2 linked regions of the Caenorhabditis elegans genome follow. The protein of the gene in region 1 interacts with the protein of each later gene in a pairwise test. Each region holds a gene or a part of one and is shown on either strand. Other genes may lie near its edges.

The links. Proteins that work in one complex are often made in the same cells at the same time.
Region 2: the proteins of F25B5.3 (region 1) and ugtp-1 interact in a two-hybrid assay, tested with the Caenorhabditis elegans proteins (one large-scale study listed by BioGRID).

The regions. Positions count from the first base shown.
Region 1 is NC_003281.10:5,947,307-5,954,035, reverse strand, and holds F25B5.3 (Putative cytosolic 5'-nucleotidase 3), read right to left. Parts: upstream 5,154-6,729; 5' UTR 5,136-5,153; coding exon 5,045-5,135; intron 3,753-5,044; coding exon of another isoform or gene 3,698-3,752; intron 3,597-3,697; exon of another isoform or gene 3,588-3,596; coding exon of another isoform or gene 3,539-3,587; intron 2,172-3,538; exon of another isoform or gene 2,087-2,171; coding exon of another isoform or gene 2,068-2,086; intron 1,996-2,067; coding exon 1,176-1,995; intron 1,128-1,175; coding exon 1,025-1,127; intron 932-1,024; coding exon 815-931; 3' UTR 501-814; downstream 1-500. Other genes in the region: nono-1 (RRM domain-containing protein), read left to right, coding at 1-168, 232-326; F25B5.6 (Putative folylpolyglutamate synthase), read left to right, coding at 5,451-5,509, 5,893-6,317, 6,369-6,676.
Region 2 is NC_003281.10:8,745,167-8,751,002, forward strand, and holds ugtp-1 (UDP-galactose translocator 1), read right to left. Parts: upstream 3,536-5,836; 5' UTR 3,534-3,535; coding exon 3,446-3,533; intron 3,242-3,445; coding exon 3,117-3,241; intron 2,839-3,116; coding exon 2,731-2,838; intron 2,686-2,730; coding exon 2,557-2,685; intron 2,150-2,556; coding exon 1,835-2,149; intron 1,596-1,834; coding exon 1,293-1,595; 3' UTR 1,050-1,292; downstream 1-1,049. Other genes in the region: Dwarfin sma-2, read left to right, coding at 4,798-4,800, 5,442-5,493, 5,608-5,711.

The DNA of each region.
Region 1 (6,729 bases):
GAGGAATGGGAGGACCACCACCAGGACAAGGAGGGCCAGGGGGTCCGGGAGGACCTGGAGGTCCTGGAGGAATGCTTCCAAAATCTCACGGACGGAGTAACATGATCGAAGGAGTCCAACGATTATTGCAGATCTTCAAAAGTGATAATGGACCACCAGGAGGAATGCGTAAGTTTTAAAATTCTTCGTTTTATTGGATCTGGTTCGAGATTAATGTTTCCTCGATTTCAGCCGGCCGTGATTATCCACCACAGCAAGGACCAGGAGGCATGTTCGGATCATATGGCGACGGAGGTTACCCACCGGAGAAGAAGCAACGACGATAGAGATGTTGAGCATCATATCTGTTTTATATACTTTCTTGATTTGGTTTTTATTTTATTTTCCTGTCTACAACGCTCTGCATCTTCTATTCATTCAATTATTCATCTAGAAGTGGCTCCTTGTTTCCACTTTGGATCTCATTCGTTTGACTTTATAATTTAACCAGAATACATTGCTTAATATTTCAGCTTTTTATTTTTCATCTATACATGTATACTAGCGAGTAGAAGACGACCTTTTAAAGGCCAAACTGGGATTAGTATCAGACTTTTGAATCGGGAGCATGGTAATTTGTAGACTGGGAAAAGCAGAACAAAGCAATGACCGGTGAAAGGAGGCGGGTGTGGGTGCTCAAAAAACGAGCATTCAAGAATAATTGCAAATAGAATTTGGGTAAGAACAATGCGAATAAAAGTGGTCAGTATCCATCTCGCCAGCGAGACACGACAGATAAAACATGAAAATTTGAAGAGAATAAGGAAGTGAAGAATCAATGTGATGAGTTGATGATGTCAACAATCTTTTGAGCCACATTCAACGTCGGATCATGAATCAGGACAATGTCGTAGACTTCCTCATAGTGCTGGAGAGCGGCGGTGTCGTCAAGCTGAAAATTGAGAAGAAAATTATGGAAAAATTGACAGTCTAAATAATTTTGAAAAAAAGATAACTTTCAACAATTTAAAGTTAAAATCCTTACCGATCCATTGTAATATCCAACTTTCAACGTGGGCCCGTCTCTTTCAACTCCAACGTCCATGTGAATATCACCCATCGAGTCACCGAGCAGAATTACGTTTACTCTGAAAATTTAAAATTCGTATCAATGCAGTTATTTAGATTGTTCTCACCTTCCAGCAATATCATGGAAAAACGATGTTTCCTTCTGAATAACTGATGAATTCTTGCAGAAAGTGTGGATCAACGGCTCGGAGAATGCACAAGCGTTGTCATCCTCATCGAACAGAATCATGTTGGAGATGAAATGTGTGTTGCGTGGAATTGCGCCGAGCTTCTGCTGAAGGAAATACTCAATGATGTTTCCGATTCCTGCACTGAAGATGACAAGTGGAATGTTGTGTGCATCGAGAGCTTCAATAAAATCTTCAGCTCCATCTTTGAAAACAATTCTCGATTGACGAACAAAGTCTTCAATTGTGTTCTTTGAGAACTTTTCGTTGACAATCAATGAATGACTTGTTCCCCACCATTTCTCCATATGTGGAATCTTTTCCTCCATCGTCAGATTCGGCGAGAACTCAATCGGATAATACTTGTTTTTCAGATCAACAAACTTTTGTCCCAATTCTGGCTTTAACCGCATTACATTATCATCAAAAACTCCATGGGTGGTCGAAAGACGTTCTCCTTGCTCATTGGCGAATCGAGACAGTGTATAGTCAAAATCACTGATAACTACAGTTTTCCCGGCGCCTCCAACAACCATTTTCCGAAGTTTCGCCGCAACTGCAGTTGGATCAGCAACCAGAATCTGTTCTTCTCCAAGTAGGTAGTTCATCAGTAATGGCACGACATCAGTCTTTTTCAGCTGTTCGATGCATTCTGCTTCAGCGCAGGCAGCTGCTGCATTCACAATTTCGGCGGCTTTGAACATTGAAAATTGTGATTGGTCGAGTGTGGCAGAGAGTGGTGTGTCAGTGAGGGTTTCGGCTGAAAATTGGAAAATCATTAACGAAAAAATACAAATATCAGATAAAAAAGGGCAAGTTTTTAACAACTTACACGAGTTAGCAGAATTCATAGTTCTTACTACTAGTATCTAGAATATCGAAATAAATCTAAATTTCACAAGTTACTAACTACTCTTATACTGGTCAAATGAGAGATCTCAATTAATTCTTTTTTCACGCTCAAGTGGACATGAAACACTTGAACTGAAAAGGACATGAAAAAACTCGAGACATGGTGGAGACATGAGGGGAATGTGAACAAGTCGCCACGTGACAAAATTTTAGAGGTCAATTGAAGTATGGTGTCTGCGCATACAGACGGAGACAACTTGAACTTTCAAAATTGGATAAGTTCCAAAAATGTATTAAAAATGGGTTACTGTATCTAGATTTAGAATATATGAAGATCGCGACGATTCGTTACCTACGATTTTTGGGATGTATAATTTTTAAAAAAATTAATCAAATATACCTTAAAATGAGCCTAGAAACGTGCTTTTTAACTTGAAAAAAAGAAAGAAAGCTAAATATTTAGAAGTTAGGTCGAAGATCAAAGTGTCTAAAAGTCAAAAGTAAATATTGGGACGGGAAAAGAGTTCTCCCCAGCAATCTCGACGATTTTATAGTTAACCCAACGAACGCTCCGCCCCTTTTAGACGTTCCTCTCTCTCTCTCTGTCTCTCTGTCTTCTTCTATGCTGCGAGAATCTCACAATTTCCAACAAAAAAGTAAAGATTTATTAGTACAGTTAGTTTCGGCATCTCTGACGATATGACTGCTGTCACCGACAAAAAAATGTGACACTGTATGAGAGGGCTAGAGGGGAGAAGACAGGGGTTAACAGAAAACTGGAACTTCGGTGCCTTCAACGAGATGCGCAGAGAGAAGAGTGTTAAGCTTTTTGGCAAAGAATTCTCAAAGTGGTAACTTTAATTCAGCCGATGCACCTTTTATATTCACATTTTCATCCCGCCCAACTTGGACTTCGATTATAAATCAGAAGTAGTGGTAGCAGTAGTGGTAGTCAAGATAAGAGAGAAAGAGCCACTGTACTTTTTCGTCGTTGAAAACTCCCACAGGGCACCTTATCGACATGGCTCTTTGTTCTGTCACTGTCTAACTGATAGATAGAGTTACTGTATAGACAAAGAGACCCTTTAGAAGCGAGAGAGAGAGGGAGCAGAATACTAAATTTGAAATGGTTTACGACTGTCAAAAAGTTTGATTAGGTTTTACAGTTTATTATCGTTTAAATTGAGAACTAAACTAGTAGAGTTCAAAAAATTGAATCTGATACCAAATTTTCAGTCAATTTACATAGATGACCCAGAAGAGATTATTTATAGCCAACGGATTGCAGTGACGTATTTTGGATTTAGAATCTTCTAGGGCATTTGCTAAATGTGGCAGAGCTTCTCATTTTTCTGGTATAATATTAAAAAGTTTAGAATATTTTTTACATTCCCCAATTTTCTACTATTCATAAATGTTGAAATTATTTCTCAATTCGTGAAAAAACTCACTACAATTAATAGTCTCCTTTGAGGAGAAAACGGAAAAACAATGTCCCATGATACGAGTAGAATTTTGAAATGAACATATTTTCACGCAATTTTTAAAGTAATTTTTTAAAATTGGTATTAAACAAATTTCCTACGCAACAAATTTTAAATAGAACATACGTGTGTTCACAGACAGACACCACAGTTTGAAGCCAACAAGACTCGCGGAGCACGCCTGGAATTGGATTCGTTTAACCGTAACCCAATTTTTAATTCGAACTTTTTTCCTACTGAAATCCTCCTACTCACCTTGGATCACTGAACTTTCAGACATGTTTTGACGTGAAGATTGATAAATAACAAGGAGGCAGACGGCGGGGAGACGCGAAAAACGAAGATTTTTTTTTTTGGAGGAAATGCGAAAAACGAAAAAAGAGAGCCGCCGTCGCAGTAGGCGCACAGCAATGTGTCAAAGCGAAGACGACTTGAGCAATGAAATAGTATACGAGATGGTAGAGTCGCAGAGAAAAATATGGATCAGCGGAAGATACTTGTTGAGTTGAAACGAGAAGGAAAAAAGAGAGAGGAAAGGAAGAGGAAAAAGAAAAATAGTTTTGGGTTTTAGCTCCCTAGGAGCAGCTGAGATCAAAGATATATGTATCGAGTTCGCGAGGTTGAAAATAAGAGAAAAAGGCTCGTGTTGAAGAGTGATGAAAATGTGGTGTTTTGGAATTTTTTAGGAAATTGGATTTTCACAAAACTTCCGGGTTTCAGAAAAAATATTTTCAATAATTCAGCTGTTACGTTTTTGATGTGAAAATTTTGGATACGAAAAATAACAAACAATTCGAAAAACTCCTGCCAAGATCAATTTTTTGGAAATGGGTGTCTGCGCCTTTAGGGCCTAGAGTACTGTAGTATTTTTTTTTTAATTTAATTTGAATGCTATTACTGAAAATAGGGAAAATGTAATTATTATTTTTCAATCAAAAAAGAAATCCGAAAGAGAAAAAAAGATGAGAATCGAGAATTTTCGAAAATCCTATTTGAAAATCGGAAATCGTCACTATTTTCGAAATTTGGCGAAAGCCAAGGAGCACGGAGCGGGAATTTGGTATTTTCTGGTTTTTTACAGGAAAAGCGGAAGAGCTTTTGGCTAAAACTTATGAAAAATTCAATTTTCGAATTTTCTATTGCATCCAAAAAATCAAAATAAAAGATTGTTTGAAAATTCTGAAGAGAAAACATGTGATTTAAAAAAGAATACATGCCGCGAGAAAGACAGAGATCAAGCCGTTTTATTTATAGTATACCGACGATTTTCTTATCTTTTCTGGAAAATTAAAAATGGCTATAACTTTTAATGATTTTCCAGACTGACAGGCTAATCAGTTGGTGATAATGAGTAGGAGCTCTCCTTGAAAATTAACTGAATTTCTTGGAAATAATTTGAAATTTCACGAGATTTTGAATTTTTACAGGATAAAATTGTATTATGATCTTTACAAAGTTCTCACTTTCACTTACTTCGCAATTGTAAGATTGATTGTCGACTTTCGAATCGTCTTCCGCTAACGAAAAGGCATTTTCCTAACCTTCTTGCAACTTTATTTGACATCGACTGAAGATCTGAAAATTCTAGATAAAATCAATTTGAAATAAAAAGGAAAAGGCAGGAGGATTAAGAAGAAAAATGGAAAAACAACTGAACGAAAAGAGGAAAAAAGAACTTTGGAAGGCATATGACGTCTAGAGGGATCGAACTTAGAGAAACAGATTGATGGCCAGCCCCTCTAGCTGAGGATTCAGTTTAGCGTTGAACGTTCACTAGAACAAACAACGGAGAGAATGTCCTTCCGCGCAAACACTAAACCATGTTCTATGATCAATCTACGTTATATTATCATATTATCACATGCATCTTTGCCCCTCAATGCGTATCATTAGTTCCATTTTTGCCCCTACTCGTGGTTTTCATTCTCGCTCGACTTGGTTAGTTTTACTTATTATGTTGAGTTTTTGACTGGTTTTACGCTTATTGGATTCGAAAAATTATCGAGTAACTCTAAAATCCAACAGGTTTTATGAAAAACTTATGAAATTGGAAAAAAAAAGAAAAAAGTGAAAAATCGAAGTGGTCGCTCTTTGAGTTGCTTTCACGCGCAAGTGTGCATACACCGTCACGTCAAAATGCAGTCTTGAAATGTTATCAACTAATAATTTTTTAATGAGTTTTTCTTTTTTCTACGGCTGAAATCAGCTGCTACTAGTTCCAAACTAGCATGAAAATTAACTAATCAAAGTACCTCAATAATCCAATTAATCTCCCCGAAAAAAAACCTAAAAATGATGCGACTTTTACCTCAAACTAACAGGATTCTTCTACCAACAACATCCTCCACAGCTTGCGGTGCTAACCAACTTAGAATGTCATCTGAAAAAGCTGTACCATGCTATGAAGAATCTGTTCGTCTTTTGAATGGCCTTCAGTCAAACGCGGCGACTATCAAAAAGTTACGTGTTCAAAGGGAGAACTTGCAAGCGATTAATCTTCCGCAATGCCGAAAGTATCTGGAATCTCTGAACATATCCGCAGAAGATCTTAACGCTTTGAATATCATCCATGTGAGCGGTACGAAGGGAAAAGGAAGCGCTTGTGCTTTCGTTGAATCAATTTTAAGAAGTCAAGGGCTCCGAACTGGATTCTATTCGTCACCCCATCTGGTTCATGTTAGAGAGAGAATTCAAGTTGATGGACAGCCGGTTAGTGAGCAGATGTTTGCCGAAGAATTTTTCCATGGTAACATCACTATTTTAATTTTTTTAAAATTAATATAATTAATATTTTCAGTGTACGACATCATCAAAAGAGAGCACAGCGACAATATGCCCGCCTACTTTAAATTCTTGACTCTTCTTGCTTTCCGAATTTTCGTCAAGCTAAACGTTCAAGTTATGATTCTCGAAGTTGGAATCGGCGGAGAATACGATTGCACAAATGTTGTTGAGAAGCCAAAAGTCTGCGGAGTGACTACACTTGATTATGATCACATGTCCATTCTTGGAAATAAGTTATCCGAAATTGCATGGCACAAAGCAGGAATTTTCAAAGAAAGTGTACCGGCATTTTATTCGCCAACGACTACGGAAGCAGAAGAGGTGAAAACTTACATTTATTTAAAATCATTGTATAAAACCAAGTAGATAAGAAA
Region 2 (5,836 bases), 2.8 Mb from region 1:
AAACTGAATTTCAGATGTTAAAATGAATCCTACACAAAAGGTCCAAAACAAATGGGAACCTTCAGTGGGATTAGGTAACGAAGATAGATGAGAAGAAGGATTCTCAAAGAAAAAAAAAACGAACACATTATGAGGGTGTATAACTATTGACAATGGGTTTCTAGTGTTTTTTGAGTTTTTTGAAATGATGGGAAAGTTTTGTAAAATTTTGTGTCTTCTGGGAAAATCTATAAAATTAAGTTGTGAAGGGCTTGAGTGTTTGAGAAATTTATTTAAAATAATCCAGCTTGGCAGAAAGGTTTGAACATTCGAAAATAGTATTTAAAAAAACCTAAAGACCAAATAAATATTCTCGAAAAATTTCCAACTCTCAATAAAAAAACGATTGAAATACAGTTAACTAAAAGAATCCGGGCATCATTTCTGAGAAAAGAATAATAATTTTTAGAAAGGTAGGTACTTCAGACAATTTCTCCAAAAGACATGTACCATAAAAATTGCAATTGGCTGTAATTCGAAGTCTCTGTTTTTCAGAACTTGATATGTTATTTAAGAGAAAAAAACGCTACCATAAACTCGCGGTGAGACCCATTCATATAAATCCGTGCACACTCAAGAAAGAGTTTTAGAAAATTCGGATAATCAATGGATGGTCGAAATTGATCATAAAATATATAAAAAAATGCTCGGACATTGGGATGGCTTGAAAAAGAAAAGAGAAAGTTTCGTTCATCTTTCTATCTTTTCAGTTCCATTCGCCGCCAATCCGTTTCTGTCGTCTCTTTTTCTGAATTCCCATCTAATTAAACATCGACCACATGCATCCTTCCTGTCAAACACACACTTGCCAAACTACTGACTGAGCAAATTGCGAGATATCTCCAGGGAGCCATTGGAATTCTGTTATTTGGCGAGAATTTATGAGCCACCTGAGCACTAATGGCTTATAGTTTTAGAGCAGGAAGAAGGAAAGAGGAGGAGCCCTTGCTTCTGCTCCAGAGCGTTCGCACAATTGGTCAGGAATTCTGTGGATTGGAACAAATTAGGAAAAAATATGAATGCTTTTTATTTGCCATCGAGAATCGAGGAAGTTTATAACATAAAACCACGATCCAAAAAAACACAAAAAATGCAATAGAATAAAACCCCAAAAATACAAAGAAATCCAAGCATTAAGTTTATACAATTAAAGCTTTTGGCTAATACACAGAAAAATCAAGTAACCCGGAAGAATGTGTAATCAAAAAATGATGGTTTTTCTAAAACTGAAAAAAAGAAGCAAATTGTGAATCCTACTCGTTAACAGAGTTATACAAAAGAACAGCAAGAACAACACAAATGGTTCCAAGTACAAAATACATTCCAATGAAAATATCTGGAAATATGAGCATCGAAAGAACAACAACTAGAATGATAGAGACTGCTGAAGCCATTGATTTGTACAGATTATCAAGATATCGCATCACAAGAGAAATGTAGAGGCCTCCAACGCCAAGAAGAATCACAACTGCCCATACTTTGTCCGTGTAACCGAAGAAAAATCCCTTATCGGAGATCCGCGAAAAATCCGTGAGACAAGCGATTGAAGCACTGATCTGGAAAAAATTGGAAATTTTCGAAATTCGACTTTCTGAGATTAATTGAGCTTAGATTTTATTAATAAGTCTAAATTGGTTTTTAGTAATATTCAATTATTTCGAATCTCTATTTTTCAAACGATTTGAAAAAAAAACCCTAAATAGTTTCTGATTTTTTTTTAACTTTCAGAAGTTTGATTTATTCAATTGGATGGTAAGTAAATAAACTAGGAAATTTTGAAATTTCAGTAACTTACCACTCCACAACTGTACATTTGCATATTACGAATCCAAAATGGTGTACTTCCACCATCTTTCAACATCTTCTCAAAATAGACTCCAGCAAATCCAGCAGTTACACACGTTGCCAGTACAGCTGATAATCCGACAATATAATTTTCAGCAGTTTCTCGTTTTGTATTGGCTTCTGATGCAGAAACATTGTTCATTTGAACAAATGCTACTCCAAACATTAGAAGTGTAATTGCCATCCATCGACGAGTTGAGAACTTTCGACCGAGAAAGAGCATCATGAAAAAAGCTGTAGAGACGACTTTCAATTGAGTTGTGACCTGCAATTTTTTTCTTGAAAAAGTAGGGTTTTTTTGGATTTTTGAAAATAATAATTTTTGTTTTGTTTTGGAGAAAAAAAAAAGAATTTTTTTTTTGGCTTTTAAAGGGTTTTTTGTGAAAAATTAAAACAAAACATTTCTGCATCGTTTTTTTCTGAAAAAAAGAGTTGGGTTTTTTTTTTGGGAAAAATTGATTTTTTAATGGTTTTTAATGGATTTTTTTGAAAAAGAAAAAACATATTATTTTGAAAAACTCGATTTTTTTCCTGGAAAAACTTTTAATTTTTTGGTTATTTTTTGAAAATTTTTTTTGTTTGGTTTTAATGAAAAATTGATTCTTTTTGTTATTTTCATAGGAAAAAAGGTTTTTTGATTATATATTTTTTAATATTTCTATGACAATTTACCTGATAAAGTCCCGCATCCAAATTCGACAATCCCACAAAATCCAAATTATTCTGAAGAGCATACGCAAACGATGGGACACTCATTTTGGCAAGTTCTCGTGGAGCATTTATGTAATATTTACTGACTTGCTGTAAATTATAATTTTAAGATTTCAAAGAATACGGTAGATCTACCTCGGAAAATTGTCTGCTATCAAAGTTACATTCTTTGTAGAACATTGCAAATGTGATCACTAATTTCAAAATTTCGGCACATAAGACTACTGATGTTGAAGAATACATCTGAAATAAAAATGCATACTTTCGAAAAATTGAAATATTTGTATCAATTCTGTGTGTTTTTTTGGTGCTTTGGGATCAAAAAAAAAAAAATTTTTCTTAAAACCGTTTTCACACTTTGGATTTTTTTCAGAAAAGTTAAACATGATTTTTTATATTTCGCTATGAATTATCAATTGTATTTTATTGTCAAACTTTTTGAATTTTGAATTTTGAAAAAAAAAAATTTCTGAAAATTCAATAATCAAAGTCTTCCAAAACTATATTTCAAAATATATTACCATATCTGGATTTACAGTACTCCTTGTGTATTTGATTGTTAATGTGTAAGCTGTCCAAATGAATGTCATACTGGCAATAACATAGCATTTGAAGACAAAACTTGGACGAGATGATGACGGGGATTCTGAAATACTTGGCATTTTGATACAGAGTTTTGAGAAGGAATTATATAAATTTTTAAAATAACATACGAAAACTTAAAAAATGTCGAGAGTAAATTTTCCGATAATTTGTTTTTCGATTTTTTTTTTCAATTTTTACGGAAAGTTTTTTTTTTGAAGAAATACCAAAACTTTTTGAAAACTGTATAATATTAGAAACTTCCTACCATCCGCTTTCTCCACATCCTTATCGTTTGGCAGTAGCTTCTCCTTGTCCTCATCTTGATGTGATATATGTACATTTTGGAATTTCATTCCTGAAAGTTGTATATTTCATAAAAAATAATCAGTAAATATTGAAAAATGCTTTCAGAAAAAAAAAGATAAGAAAATGTGCTATTGGGGTATGATGTCTGATAAAAAGGGTGTATGTTTGTCTAGATCATTCTTCTCTTTTTTATTGTAAAAACGCCACGTTCATGCATAAAATTGAGAGGAAGTATCATTATTCACAAACGCGATGATAAAACCCATGAAATCATTTTTTGATACTTTTTAAAAGACTGAAAAATAGATAGATATTCTCTAGAAATGAAATATTTGAAAATGCATTGAGAACAAAAAAATATAACATTTTCCGATGCTTCCAAGCAACGCTTATGTTCCTTAGCAACATGAATTAACAAAGAAGGAAATTTCAAGGACAAGACACTACTTGACCTTCTGTCAAAGAATCTACTTATGAAAATTCGTTAAAATTGAAATTATATAGAAAATGTAAATATTGAATGAGTGCATAGAGCAGACTAGAAATTTCTATATCTTTTGAGATTCTCGGAATCTTTTCTTTTCAGAAAATTATGCTTTCTGATAAAATTCGGTAATTTGTAAACCATGAAAATCAAAATTTTAGGGCGTGAAATATTTTCTGCTGCAAGAATTTTTCTCTTAATTTAAGCACAAAAGCAACACAATTTCAAAAAAGTGTGTTTTCTGGTGTTCCTTGATCTAGTGAGACCGGTTTTTGCAAAGCCTACCTTCACAACAACCATAGACTATTTTATCCGATGACACCTGGTCCCTTCTCAAACAAAAGTGATGAATATTCCCCAATACCGTTTTCCTTTCAAACATGAATAAATGAATTCCATTAATTCCCTGCTTGGCTCCAGACTGTCGCCCTTCTGCGTCTCTAAGTCTTCCTATTTCAAACACTGTCTCATTTTATATATTCTGAGTCTCTCTACTATACTATGATGTCTAGTTGGCTACTAATGACGATAACGGGGGCGCAGGGACACAAGTTGACTGTCGCCGGGTGGAAACACATCTGTGAAGATGATTGCACAATTTGGAGAGACGGAGAGTTGAAAACAATGAGTAGACAGTTAGACGGTTGATGATGGGCTGGTGAAGCTGAGAACAATTTATGAGATACCAGGCACTTTAGAGAGGCTACAGAGGTAGAAAGAAAAAAAGGTAAAGGAGTGCGCATTTACAGGCTATTTTCAATGTTTCTTATTTATAGAATCTTCTTGTGATCTATTAGTTTTTACAATATTTCAAGAAGATTAGAATCATGGTAAGTTTTTATTTGTATTTAAGAATAAACATTCAAAAAAAATTCGAAATTTTGTAATTCAAATTTTTTAAAGAAAAAAAAAAATAGAATTCAAATTGTTGAACTCAATGAGTCTTTAAAATTTTGAAAAAAATACGAAAATCATTTTTAAAAATTTCAAAAAATGTAGCTACATTTTTTATGTTTTCCTATAAAGAATTTGTTTAAAAATTTCCCAAAATATTGTTGTGAAATAAGAAACTGAAATATCTTCTCGATATTGTCTAACCACTACCAGTTTGTAAAAATTATTATTACTTCCTCAAAACCAGGGCCTTGAGTCCTGGAACGTGTGTAATTTTTCAGCTACAGTACCCCGTGAACACCATAGACTTTGAAATTCTCAGCTTTCAAAGTTTGAACCTTCCGTTTTACATATTTTAATATTTGACGTAGTTTAAACATTTTTCCAAAATATGTGATTTCTACAATAAAATTCTTGAAAAAATCGAGACAAGAGAGACAAATAGTAATAGAGAGTACGGTAGCTGAAAAATTTCATTCGTATCAGAACCCAATTCCCAAGAATTCTTATTTTTCGAAAATAGATAAAATTGTATAACCATTTTTTATTTCACAACAAAAAACCACGAACCTTTCAGATAAACTTCGACGGAATAAAAAAGATCACGGAGAGACTGAAATGGAAACAAGGTAAGTCTCATTTTTGTCCAAAAGACCAATAGGGTGGGGAAATATTACAATCAACGGCGGAAATCTAGAATCGAAACTGAAATCGGATTTCTGACGGAAATAAGTATTTTACAGGAGACGAGGATGAGAATTGGGCAAAAAAGGCGATCGACAACTTGATGAAGAAGCTGATAAAGCATAACAAGCAGGCGTTGGAAAATTTGGAATTCGCGTTGAGGGTTCATGTGTTTTGTGTCTTTTGAATCTTTCAATTTGATCTTAAGATTTCTTTTTTATGAATAGAAATGAAATAATCTAGCAATAGACTACACATACTTTAAACTCGTTAAAAATCAATAAAAAC